Rattus norvegicus: one gene and its partners. The protein of the gene in region 1 interacts with the protein of each later gene in a pairwise test. Links are inferred from orthologs where the notes say so. Each region holds a gene or a part of one and is shown in the gene's direction. Other genes may lie near its edges.

What was found. The genes of interacting proteins can lie anywhere in the genome.
Region 2: the proteins of Dmrtb1 (region 1) and Vasp interact in a two-hybrid assay, tested with the Homo sapiens proteins (2 studies listed by BioGRID and IntAct). The two-hybrid records come from large-scale screens. The link is inferred for Rattus norvegicus from reciprocal best matches to the Homo sapiens genes DMRTB1 and VASP.
Region 3: the proteins of Dmrtb1 (region 1) and Slain1 interact in a two-hybrid assay, tested with the Homo sapiens proteins (2 studies listed by BioGRID). The link is inferred for Rattus norvegicus from reciprocal best matches to the Homo sapiens genes DMRTB1 and SLAIN1.

The regions. Positions count from the first base shown.
Region 1 is NC_086023.1:127,678,416-127,682,743, reverse strand, and holds the start of Dmrtb1 (doublesex- and mab-3-related transcription factor B1), read left to right. Parts: upstream 1-1,492; 5' UTR 1,493-1,560; coding exon 1,561-2,125; intron 2,126-2,147; exon of another isoform or gene 2,148-2,240; intron 2,241-4,328.
Region 2 is NC_086019.1:88,050,112-88,054,303, reverse strand, and holds the start of Vasp (vasodilator-stimulated phosphoprotein), read left to right. Parts: upstream 1-1,348; 5' UTR 1,349-1,526; coding exon 1,527-1,531; intron 1,532-1,833; exon of another isoform or gene 1,834-1,850; coding exon of another isoform or gene 1,851-1,858; intron 1,859-4,192. UniProt on the Homo sapiens protein: Ena/VASP proteins are actin-associated proteins involved in a range of processes dependent on cytoskeleton remodeling and cell polarity such as axon guidance, lamellipodial and filopodial dynamics, platelet activation and cell migration.
Region 3 is NC_086033.1:86,895,992-86,900,319, forward strand, and holds the start of Slain1 (SLAIN motif-containing protein 1), read left to right. Parts: upstream 1-1,484; 5' UTR 1,485-1,670; coding exon 1,671-2,224; intron 2,225-4,328. UniProt on the Homo sapiens protein: Microtubule plus-end tracking protein that might be involved in the regulation of cytoplasmic microtubule dynamics, microtubule organization and microtubule elongation.

The DNA.
Region 1 (4,328 bases):
ACCTCTGAGATGGCCTGCTTACTATTTAAAGCACTGCCTGTCTTTACCTTTTGAAACCCTTTGAAAGACACCATAGATATTTCTTTTGAAAAGAGAGAGAGGAGAGAGAGAGAGAGAGAGAGAGAGAGAGAGAGAGAGAGAGAGAGAGAGAGAGAACAAAAGCCAGGATAGAGGCACATGTCCTTAACCCAGATGTGTGTGTGTGTGTGTGTGTGTGTGTGTGTGTGTGTGTGTGTGTGTGTGTGTGTATTTAAATGACAGGTTGTGTGTGGGTTATTAGATTTTTTTTAAAATGGAAATTGTGTTTGCTTATGTGTGTATGTGCACGTCTGCATGTGCGTGCATGCGTGTGTGCGTGCGTGCGTAGTGTGTGTATGTGTGTGTGTGTGTGTGTGTGTGTAATTTTTTTTTCTTTTGGGTAGGACTACTCAGCAAAGTTGGGTGTTCCCTTCCTCTAAGAGTAAACAGACTTGAACTCATGGTTTGTCACAAAACAAGCAAATCGCGGCTCCTTGTAATATCAGTAGATTCTGGGTATGAACACCGTCCTGGAACAAGCTCCCCCAAGCTAGATCTGTACACGCTGGGCTGCGTGCCCCACACTGGATGAGCAGATATCTCGGGAAGGTTCTTGAAAATGTTTTACTTCTATGGCTCCCGTTCCTGAGAGAAGTACGCACCCTCCATCAGTGTTGTATTACAGTGGCTAAGGAATTCTTGTAAGTTTTGTTTGGCTTCCTAAAGATGATTAAAAGACTATGTGAAACAATAAACACGCTCGCACGCACGCGTGCACGCACGCATGCGTACACACACAGACACACACACCCCAAACCCAAATATTCAAAATAGTTCCGGAATATCATGTTTCTTTTACTTTATAACATTATTAAGCATGAAATTTTCAGACCAGAGTGCTGACACAAACAGAACTCAAAAACTCAGGGTTTCTGCAATGCCTGTAAGTAACCAACACGGCACTAAGCTCCTAAGAATATTCTGGAAGCATGACTGCTTTTTTTCTCTACAGAGGAGAGAAATGAAAGCAGAAGCAGCTGCTTCAGGGAGGAGAAACATTGTGTTCTCTGGAACTTTCCAATAGTATGGGTTTACTAACAGCTCTGATCCTCAGGAGTTTTAAACCTCTGGACCGTTGAGTACACGTCCGCCATTTTTCAAAAAAACAAAACAAAACAAAAACCTATTTTCCAATTACAATTTGGTAGGAACAGAAAGCTTGAAAATTCAAGTGCCAAAAACTTTCAAATAACTCATATGACATACATGCAATAAGTATTCTATTTTGAGTTTACTCCGCACCCCATGGCCCAACACACAGAAACACTGTAAATTTAGCACACACACCTGGAAAGTGGGAAAAATGCAAGAGCCCTGTTGCAGTTCTCGGGACACTCAGTGAGCTGTTTTGTTACAAGTGTATCCAATGTCCCTTGCACCAGGGATTTATGGGGGCACAGCTCATTCCTGCTTCACTCGCTCTGCAGCTTCGGGAAGTGGTGGTTGTGTTTGGAAGCAGAGCTTGCAGAGCTGAACGGCAAGATGCTTCGTACCCCCAAGTGCTCAAGGTGCCGGAACCACGGCTATCTGGTACCAGTCAAGGGCCATGCGGGTAAATGCCGCTGGAAGCATTGCATCTGTGATAAGTGCTACCTGATCACCGAGCGCCAGAAGATCATGGCTGCCCAGAAGGTGCTCAAGAACCAAGCTACGGAGGAGCAGGGGGCGACCGTGGGCACGCAGGGTCCCCAGCTGCCTCCTAGGGCTCCGGCTCCGGCAGCCGCGACGGCCACTGCCTCGAGCTCCAGCATTTGCCCACTGCCTAGGGCGGCTCTGGGAGGTGCTGGGCCAGGCCCCGCGGCCACCTGCTTCCTAGAGAGGTCCCCGCAGGCCCGGAGCCCAGGCCCGAGCGCCTTCCAACTGGTCCCAAGTGGCCGTCCAGGCCCCAGCACCTTCCAGCCTGGATCGGGGGGCTCCGGGGGACTGCACGACCGTCCTCCCGCGTGGCTGCCCCAGCTCAGGCCACAGGCACCCAGGCCTGAGCTTTGCTGCCCGGATCAGCACCTGCCAGTGCGGCCCGTGCCCCGACTGCCGTTCGCCGACTACGGTAAGCCCAGCCTCGTGCAGCCGACGGTTCCTCTGGCCTGCATCAGGCCTGCAGCCTCCCGGCTCTAAGCTGGAGTCCCAGACTGGTGCTGGGGTGGGAAAGGCGCCTTTCCCAGGTAACCCCCGCTTTGAGAACACGTTCCCAGACAAGGATTTGGGTGGGCGGCTTCTGACTGCAATGGGAAAAGGCTGGTGGGAAAGAGTGAGCGGTGCAGGGGGGTTTATGTTGAGATGCAATTTTCTGCCTTTGTACTTTTGCAAAGAAAAAAAGATGGCAGCTGGGCAGCTTTGGCAGTGGCGCCTTTTTGTGGACCCTCTAGCACGCCTCGCACGGCTTCCCTTCCCCTCCCCCTCCCATGTCTAGCGGTCTTGCGCCTGCGTGACAACCCTCCTCCCACTCCCTGCCTGCCATTTTCTCTTACTAGAGAGTCTTTTAGAACTTGCTTTCTGGGTGGCTGTTCGCCTGAGACTGTGCCTGCGCACCCTTCTCTCATTTAGCGGAGTCTAGTTTATCTTAACTGCAGTGTATGGCCTAACGCACCTGTACTCACTTTTTCTGTTTTACCGGATGTGGTTGGGAATAAAACTTTCAGCTACTTGGCCAGATGTTACGGTTTTTCTCACTCCTCGCTTTGTGCATAAATAATATTGTTTCTTTATGCCGTGTTGCGTACCTGATTAAAGTACGATTTCTTGTGGAATTTAAAAAAAAAAGTATTTATATTTTATAATTTATTTATTGTAATGTATTAGTGTTTTGCCTACACGCATATCTGTGTGAGGGTGTCTTATCTCCTGGAACTAGAATTACAGATTCGTGTGAGCTGCCATGTGGGTGCTAGGAATTGCGCCTGGGTCCTCTGGAAGAGCACCCAGCGCTCTTAACCGCTGAGCCACCTCTCTAGCCCGTGAAGTATGCCGTTTTCAAGTAGTGTAAATTTTGAGGCTCTTGGAAAGCGTCTCTTTGGGATGAAGATGTGGTTTTTTGTTTGTTTGTTTGTTTGTTTGTTTGTTTTAGTTTTTTTTTAAACTCTCCTTCCTTTGGACATGTTTCTTCCTTGAGGGGCAGACTTTCAGAAATTAATGCTAATCATTCCTAATGTTTCTGGGATTTTGTAAAAAAAAATCTTTTCCCCAAGGAACTATCTGTCTGATGAGGAAGGCAGACCTAAACCTGTAATCCTGTGAGAGCACATCTGTATTCCATCTCTCAACAAATAGAATTTTAAAATGTGCTGAACTCGGGTGTTCATAAGGAGGTGGGGAGAAGGAGTCACTTGTGGCTAATCCCCGCATGTGTGAAAGAGAGGTCAGAGGGCAACTTTGAGAAACTGGTTCTTTCCCTGGGATGGAGCTCGGGCTGTCAGGCTGGTGGCAGGTGCCTTTACCTGCCCAGCCATCTTGCTGGCCCTGATGGTGCTGTTCTCGATTGTCCTATGGGTTGGTGAGAAACCCCCCAGAAAGCACAACTCTGGATGCATTTTGGTAGGTGTTTTCCAGAGAGAGTTTATTTACTTAAGTAGGAGAGGTGGGTCCTGAATGTGGGTGCCACCATTTCAGCCTAGGGTTTTGGATAGGATGAAAGGTGAGAAAGAGAAAGCTTGTTAGCAGATCGTTCTCTTGGCGCTTCCTGGTGAAAATGAACTGTTCTGCTTCACCATAGCTAGCACCAGGATGTTCTGCCTCACCAAGACTCACAGGCGATGGGGCTAAGAGCCCTGAACTGTGAGCCAAAAACGAGTCATCCCCTCTTTAAACTGCCAGGGTATTTGTCCCAGTGTCAAGTAACTGACTAACACACCTTCCTTGCCCTCTGGGATCCTGTCCTTGTGGGGAGAAATAATGTTCTTCAAAGCATCAGTGAGAGAGGGTTCTTTTTTTTTCTTTCTTTCTTTTTTTTTCGGAGCTGAGGACCGAACCCAGGGCCTTGCTCTTGCTAGGCAAGCGCTCTACCACTGAGCTAAATCCCCAACCCCAAGAGAGGTTTCTTAATCGATGAGCCAGCTGCCATCTGGTCTGGAGAGGTCCTTAGGTGGCTGAAAGAGCAAAACAGCATGGCTGAGTGAGTGTTCAAGGACAGCGGGGCTAGAAATGAAGAGGGGAGATGGTGTCTCTGTGACCACAGTGGAAACTGCCTGGGCTGTGCCGTTCACACCGGCACTGCCAGGAACTGAAATTGAAGCAGAGTCCAGTGGTGGGCGAGA
Region 2 (4,192 bases), on another chromosome or scaffold:
AACTGCTGACCCATTTCTATTTGTGTTCTTAAATATATAAGATGACATTAAAGTCACCCTGTAGCCTAGGCTGGCCTCAAACTCGAGATCCTCCTGCCTCAGCCTCCGGGTTTGTGGCAGGACAACTAGTGTACTAGATTTTTCAGTGCAGAATTAAGTGTTTGGCCTGAAGGATGAGGTTTTTGCAAGGCCAACAGGGAGCCAGCATACCATCCAGGAAACAGACTGGCCAAAGGCCACGTGGATTGATTCTCCGTAAGTTTGGGGGGGGGGACCCAAACAAGACGATCATAAGCTAAACCCATTCCCTGTCTCTGTGCCTTAGTTTCTCCATCTGTAAGTCAGGAACTGATGTTTTCTGAGAGTTAACGCCTTTTACCCTGCCAGGTGGAGCTCTACGGGAGGGGCGTGTCCGCATGATGATGTAACTCTGGGCGGGGCCTATGGGTCCCACTGCGGAAGGCTTGGAGGGAGGTTGGGCTGACTCTGCCCCGACGTGTTTGCGTGGAAGGGGCTCCAGGGAGGGTCTTCGAGCCTCTGAGCCTGCGGGATTCTTGGGACGATCCTACTATCCTCTGTGGGCAAAACTAAGCCATAGCTGGGCACGCGTGGGAAGCAGATCGGGGTCCCACCTCCAACCCTTCACTCCTAGTCTATCCTCCACCTTCTTCACCCCCGCCCCCACCCCAGCCGCGACCCGGCGGCGGTGAGTCAGCGGCCCGTCGCACCCCCTCGCTCACTTCCTCCACACCTTCCCCGGAGGGTGGGGGGCGGCGAGGGGTGGGGCCCGACCTGAGAAGAGAGATCTGGGGAACAGAGGATGTACGGAAGTGTTACTTAAAGGTGGAAATTAATGAGATCCTTTGCTTAACCAGAAGAACCCCCGCCCTCCATAAAAACTGAACAGAAGTCCACCGAGCGAGTTGGAATGGAGAACTGGCACCCCCAGATCTCTACTAAAGAATTCCATAGTAGAGACAGCTAGAGATCAAAGAATGGCCCCTTCCCTTCCAACAAGCTTCCCCCTCCAACTCGGGAGTGAGGCCCAGGGTGCACCCCCACGCCACAAGACTGAGAGGAAGGAGTGCAATTGCGGAAGACCTAGGTTCCGCGTTGCCTTTTAAACGGTCTCCATCCCCCGCCTGGAGGCGTCCACGGCCCCTTTAAGGCGCAGGGCATTGTGGGTATGGGGAGTGGAATTTTGGAACGAAATGTAGCAAAGAGAGTACAGTAGTAAGAGTAACCGCGTAGGTGCTGCCGGCTGAGGGGGTGCGCCGGCGAGGTTCGGACGCTGCACCCCGCTTTCCATCGCAGGGGATCCCAGCACATCAGAGCACCGGAGGGAGGAGGCGCCTGAGCACCCGCCCGGGCCCGGTCCACGTTCTCCCCAGGAAGCTGGACTCTATGGGGCGGGACCCCGAGAGAGACTGAGCAGAACCTGGAGCCAGCCCCGCACCCCTGCACTTCCAATCAGGGGCGCCCCGGGAGCACTCCCCGTGGGCGCGCCGCCTGCCCTCTGCGCAGCCATGAGGTGAGCCCCGAACCCTCCAGCCGGGTCCCAGCCGGGACCCGGCTTCGCGCCCCGCCTTTGTCCCCCTCCCCCCAGCTCGTTCGGGGCTGGATTTAGGGGACACAGCGCTTTGAGCGTCCCAGATCTGGGCCGATGTCTCTTGGAGCGATCTCTAAATATCGACACCCCGTTTCTCCACACTACTCCCTAAAGGCTTGGGGCGGTGCCGGCTGAGGTTCTCTTGATGGCTTTCAGGTTTAGGGGCGCTCTCGGGACTCAGAATTTGAAGACTTTTGGGGGGAGCACCTCCGAGTTCGCAGATAAGTAGAACGTCGCAGGGATGAACTGGTATAAGTGGGCTCAGAGTTACTGCCCCCAAACTCAAAACCAGGTGGGAGGCTGGCTTGAGAACCCGAGCCCTGAAACTCTGAGTCTCGGGTTGTGGTCTTCGGACCCTTGCGTCTGGGGCACTGGATGAGAGTCCCAGAGTGGAACCGCGGTCCTTAACTTTGGGGGTACTTCTTGATGTCCCAAAATTTGGTGGACACGGAGGTTCTCTGGTGGAGGGGTTCTTGAGACTCTGACCCACGGGGCCCAGAGGGTCTGGATGGGACTCTTCTCCCCTTAGGCACCCAGGTTGGGTGGGTCCTAGGACCCGGGAGCACTCCAGGCCCAGGGCGGCTCCTGGCCCCCGGGCCAGAGGACGGTTCTAGTTCCACCCCCACCCCCTAACCTGGTGGCCTGTGAGGGAGGGGGCGCGGCAGCTGGGGGAGGGGGGGCCTTTGTCTTCCTGACTCACCTGTCGAGACAGCTGGTGTGGGGGGCGGGCCCCCGAGTGAGCACTGTGGCCAGCTGCTTTTCCCCACACCACGGCCCCTCCCCTTGGGCTCAATGTCGCCGGGTGTCACCCCCCTTCCCCAAGCCGTGGGATTGGAGGAGGGGGCGCTGGAAAGCGTCAAGGTCATAGCCTTCTCCCTCAGGGACCCAGGCTTACCCGCTTCTTTCAGCTCTCTTCCCAGGAATTTAATCCTGTGGGTGAGGGGGACTCAGAGATTTTTTTTTTTTTTAATGTCTTCTCTGGGACCTGCCCTGAACTCCTGGGCTCACCTGAGGGTGGGGCCTGGGCTGGTAGAGGCCTCCCCTCCTCTCAGCCCCAGCCCCCCCATAATCTCTCCCTTGGGGCCACATCTTGACAATACTATCTCCCTTCCTCCACTTTGGCTGGGACTTCCTGCCCCAAAGCCCCTGGTTAGAGGAGGAGTCTCCTGGGGACAGTTTGGGCTTAACCCCCCATGTGCACATCCTTCAGTCTTGCCCTCTGACATCTAGGTGACATTCTTCTCTAGGGCCCTGAGCTAGGACCCCTCCCTCTTTCCCTCCCTCCCAAGTTTGTCCCTTGGCATGTGGGAGTGTTAGCGTCTGGAGCTAGAAGGGGGACATCGAGACACCCTGGAGACTTCCTGCCTGGCCTTTCCTCCCCCGTGGGAGCTCTGTCCCCCTAAAGGGGGTCAGTTCCTCCACTACCCCCCTCCTCTCTTGCTGCCCCCAGCCCCGCCCCTCCCCCACCCGTTTCCGGTCCCAGGCCCGGTGGAAGGCGGATGGCGGATGTCCGAGTTAGTGCCGCCTCACTCGCTGAGACCGTAAAAGGGCAGGAGCAACGTCTAGGCCGGCCCCTTACACCCCCACCCCCAGTCCCCGTCCTTCTGCAGCCCGTCCCCCTCTGGCTGTGGCCAGGGCCAGACCTCCCTCCCCTGAGGGTAGGCACAACTTGAACTGAAGGGTAGGCACAACTTGAACTGAACGAGCCCCCACCCTCTTAGGAGAGGGTCTCCCTCGTCCTTGGTCACTTGCTTGGCTGTGTCACTTCTCCAAGGACAGCTAGGATTCAGAGAGACACAGAGACAGACAGACCCATTCCTTATTCCTTGCTGGGTAAACTGAGCCCCACCCCCCCAGACTTTGAAGCTTGGGTCCAGTGCCCTCAGAGGTTCTTATGCTGTGGTGGGGAAGGGGGCAGGACTGGTTTGACTGGGGACAGCCCTGTGGGGAGTGGGAAGGGAGGTGGTGATTGAGATGGAAAATTACAAGATACAGTTCTTTTTCTCCCAGTTTGACAAATATTTGCCGAGTGTCTGCTGCATCCGGGAGCTGGGAAAAGGCAGAGAAGGGGTCAGAGGTCTGAGGGCTCTTGGGCAGAATTCTGAAAGCTTCACTCCTTTCCTCTTGCAATAACGCTAGCTGCGGTTGTTATTTTCTTTCCCTTTTAAGTGATGTAGCGGGTTCAGTCACACATCTTCTTTCCATTTTCATCTCCACGGCAGTTAAGGGCAATGAAAGTACAAACTTGTGCCCCTGGTCTTACCCCCACTTTACAGGTAGTAAAACTGAGGCTCAGCAATGTTAAGGAAATGGCCTGTTAAAGTTTAATGGTTTGGGAGTATGATGTGGTGACTCATGCCTGTAACGCAGTACTTAGGAGGTGAATGCAGGAGGACCAGGAGCTGGAGGCCAGCTTGGGTTATTGAGTCCCAGTTTCAAAAATGTATAAAAATCAATTTAGCGGTGGTAAGGTTTGAATTTGTACCTAGGATTGTCTAAGTCTAGTAATATTACAAAAAGAAAAAACTAGAGCTGTCTATGTTTTTTACTTACCATTACCATTCCTCCACCCACCCACCCAAT
Region 3 (4,328 bases), on another chromosome or scaffold:
TGTGTCTGTTCTCTCCCTTTCTTTGTGTTTCAGGGATACTGCGGCCCGCATCTGCCACTGAGCATGCGGGGAAAAATCTTTCACTAGATTCTTCACTTAGGAGTTTCAGTAGTAGCACTCCACTTCTCCAGGTTTTAGTAATAACCAACATACCCAAAAAGATAGAATGAAACTTGGAAAGGTGGTGGGAGATACAGGTGGTTCCGGGTCAGGTCGGATGGCCAGCGGGGCTTTGAGGGGGAAGGTAACTTCAGGGAAGTTACCACACACTAACTTACAGAAGCTCTTGCCAGCCAAGTTAAATTCAGGACACCCACCTTGCACATACACCCAAGTTTAGAGGTGTAGCTTGCCAAGTGAGAAGACACAAGTGTTTCTGAGCAGTAAGACACAGGATCAAATTAAAAAAGATTAGAGGCGACATCCTAGCTGTGCCACAGAGATGTACGCTGTGTTTTCATTGGCGCTATGCGGACAGTGCCTGAGCGAGGCCCTTCACAAGATAGGATACCATCTGAGGATGAGAACCAGCGGTGTGGATTGTTCTCGCAGCATAACGGCAGGCTTTCCTTTGTGTTAAACACACAAAATGCTGAGCCAACATTAAATGAACAAAAACGATCAGTTCGCCTGCTTAAAAGCACTTTTGTTGAAAATTAATGAAAAGCAGGGTTTCCAAGAAATCCCCCACCACCACCCACCCCCAAACAAACCAACTTTTGAAGCGGGGAATATTAGATCTTTCCTCTTTTTGCTCAGGCATGTGTGACTTCAATAGTGTAAATAATTTAACAGATGGAGCCCAAGTTCGCTTGTATTTGCAGTGAGTGTTGAGAAGCCAGCTTTTAGAACACAGTGGAGCATGCAGGGGATGCTCAAAGATCTTTTGTCCAATATCAAAGAGCATGAAAACCCTACTCTGGTTTAATGGTGAAAGACCGGTGGGGACAGTTCATATATGGCTATTAGATAGGGTGAAGTGAACGCCTGACTTTTAGAAGCTGGCCATTCTCCCTCATAGAGACGGGGATCACTCACTTTCCTTCCTCACCCTCCCCTATCCCACCATTTTGTTTCTGTGCTACCTAACACTGCCCTTAGCGGCATCTTTTCAAACAGACCCAAAGCATCTGCTTTTTGTGGGGGGACTCAGTATCACGCTCCCCAGACCTTCTATTTTGAAGAGGTTTCATTAGCATGTGGAAATACGATGAAGTCTAAAAGTGCTCCTGTAAGAGGGTTGGCCGTTGGCCCTGGGTACGTCTCTCCCTGCCGCAGACACCTGCTACTTCTTTAGATCTCATCTCTGGCTGTGGTCCTAGAAGTGTGGCTCTCTCGCCCTAAGCGGAGGAAGTGCGAGCGGCGCGAAGTTCAGGCCAGGTCCAATCAGGCACCTGGGGTTAGGTGGCGTGGGTGCAGGCGGATGCCCAGGGCGGGTCCCCGCTGCAGGTCCCGCCCCCTCGACGCAGCCATCATCGGAGGCTCCGCCCCTCGCGCCCGCCCCGTCCCGGGGCCGCGGCTAAAACCCGGAGCCGCTAGAGCAAGAGCACAGGGCAGAGCTGCTCGGCTGCCGCTTCCTCGGCCGGAGGCTGGGCCCTGGTGCTGATGCTGGTAGACTGCGCGAGCTGGGCCCGCGTAACCACCTCGCCGCGGCGCTCTGGGCTCCCGCGATGATGGCGGAGCAGGTGAAATGCGCCTCCCCGGTGGCGGGCTCCGGCGCGGGCCCGGGGCCGGTGGTGAACGCCGAGCTGGAGGTGAAGAAGCTGCAGGAGCTGGTGCGCAAGCTGGAGAAGCAGAACGAGCAGCTGCGCAGCCGGGCGGCCAGTGCGGCCGCCGCCCCGCACCTGCTGCTGCTGCAGCCGCCGCCGCCCTCCGCACCGCCGCCAGCCGGGGCCTGCAGCCCGCTCACCACGCACAGGGCCCCGGCCAGCACGACCTCTCCGGGCCCGGGGGCGCTGGGTCCCGCGTTCCCGGGCACCTACTGCTTGCCCAGCCCGGCGCCGTCCCTGCTCTGCAGCCTGCAGCCGGCCGACGCGCCCTTCGTCTACTCCAAGCCGGCGGCGGGCTTTTTCGCCGGAGGTGGCAGCCCGGAACCATGGACCGCGGGGACCCCGCCGGGGGAAGCCGCCACGCCACCGTTGCCTCCTCCAACGCTGCTGGACGAGGTGGAGCCGCTGGACCTGGAGAGCTTGGCCGCCTGGAGCGAGGACGACGACTACACCTGGTATGGACGAGCTCCGCCGCCCCCCTACCCCCGGGGTTCTGAGGCCCAGCACGCGGGGGCGGGGCGTGGGAGGTAGGGGACCCAGAGGCCTAGCAGGTGCCAAGCCCCAGCCGAAGCTTTGAATGAAGGCAGAAACCTGTTTTGTGATTGTGCCTATTGGACTGGGGGACTGGGGACTGGGGAGGAATTGATCCCTGCCATCTGCCTTGTGCTCTGCTCTTTGCTCATTACCGAGTCCCAAGCTCCTCGTTAGCCTTAAATGCACAACTCATGTCATCTTGTCGCTCAGCCCTGATCTCTCTCTCCCCCACGCCCCCCCCCCTCTCTCTGTGTGTGTGTGTGTGTGTGTGTGTGTGTGTGTGTGTGTGTGTGTGTGTGTGTGTGTGTGTGTGGTGACGATGCTTGTCTTCTGCCCTCCACCTCCACTGCTTACTGTTCTTTTCTTACAAACGAACATTGCACAAGATTGGTGTGCAGCCCCTCTCGGTAGCGCCTGAAGCCACCTAGTGATGGGTCTCTTCTCAGACGTCTGCTCTTGCAGTTGGGTTGTGTAGTTATATATGTCATCTCTCTGTATTTTCATTGATAACCTTTCAAATACTGATTTGATTATTAAAGATGTGCTTACCCTAGTATGTCAAAACCGAAGGCCTGTTAGGGGATGAAGGGAGCAGTGGAGGCACTATTATTATTTTTAAATGAACTTAGGAGGAATTTTCATTAATTTTAAAAATGAAACCGTATTGAAGCGGGCAATTTTATGCCAACTTGACACAGGCTAGAGTCATCAGAGAGGTGGGAACCTCAACGATGCCTCCGTAAAATCAGGCCGTAGGTAAGCCTGTAGAACCTTTTCTTAATGATTGATTTGGGAAGACCCAGCCCATTGTGGGCGTTGCCATCCCCTAGGCTGGAAGTCCTGAGATTAAACAAGGTAGAAGGCTGAGCAAGCCATGGGGAGCAAAGCAGTAGCTAGCATCTCTTCGTGGTCTCTGCATTTAGCACCTGCATCCAGATTCCTGCCTTGTTTGAGTTCTTGTCTTGTATGAGTTCCTGTCCTGACTTCTTTTAACGATGAGCTGTGATGTGGAAGTATAAGCCAAATAAATCCTCTCCTGATTCCCCCCCCCCCCCAAGTTGCTGTGTGTGTGGATCCTGGTGTTTATTCACAGCAATTGTAACCCTAAACAGTGATGTGAGAGAAAAACTTTATTATCTAATTTTAGACACTTTTAGGGTTGATTGGCAGGATGCCTGGTGGAGACCAGAAGCATCTATTCAATGGGAATCTGGTTAGCTGTGTTTCTGCTCGCGACTGAGGAGTTTTTAGAGGAGACAGGTGCCTAGACCCTGCGTGATGTGTTTTCCCTGCTGCTGGCCCATGGAAGGCTTGGCCTTTGTGTACCTTCTGCTAGGGTTTGCCTGCTTGGTCGCTGGATGTACACTAGTGGTACAGACATACCTGAGGAGTGGTTGGATAAAATGGAGTGTCAGGGGAGCCGAGCAGGGTTCACATGGAGGAATAGTACAGGCGGAAGAGTTTTATCCTTTTGTCTTTAGTGCTTTTAGTTAAGAAAATCAGATTTTTTTTTCACTTTGTAATCTTGTTAATGATTGCATAGAAAGGAAACAGAAGGTGGAGAATCTTACTGGTTTGGTATTGGGAACTACAATCTTCCTTTCTCATTGGCAACCTACACGTCAGCTACCTGTGGACTTTGTCAATTGCTTTGATTTTGAGAATTAATAACATTAATTGATCATTAACTGTGGGCACGTCTATAATCTCCCTCCAACTTTGATTTTAGGAACCGTGCAGGTGTCTGTCTTAAGTTGTGCGATTCTAATGGCTCAACTTCCAAGAACTTTATGCCATTCTTTCTAAACCACATTTGGGGGGAGAGTAAGGCCTAAATATAGTTCAGCTTGTATACAATATTGAAAAATGGCCTTGCAGTGGCTTTTGTGTTTCACTAATGCCTGTCAGCCCTTATGCTAATTTCAGATCAGTTGAGCTTTTGATTTTTTAGATGACGTATATAAACAGAAGAAATTGGTTTATAATCCTGATAGAAACACAAAAGAGCAATCCCTTCACAATATG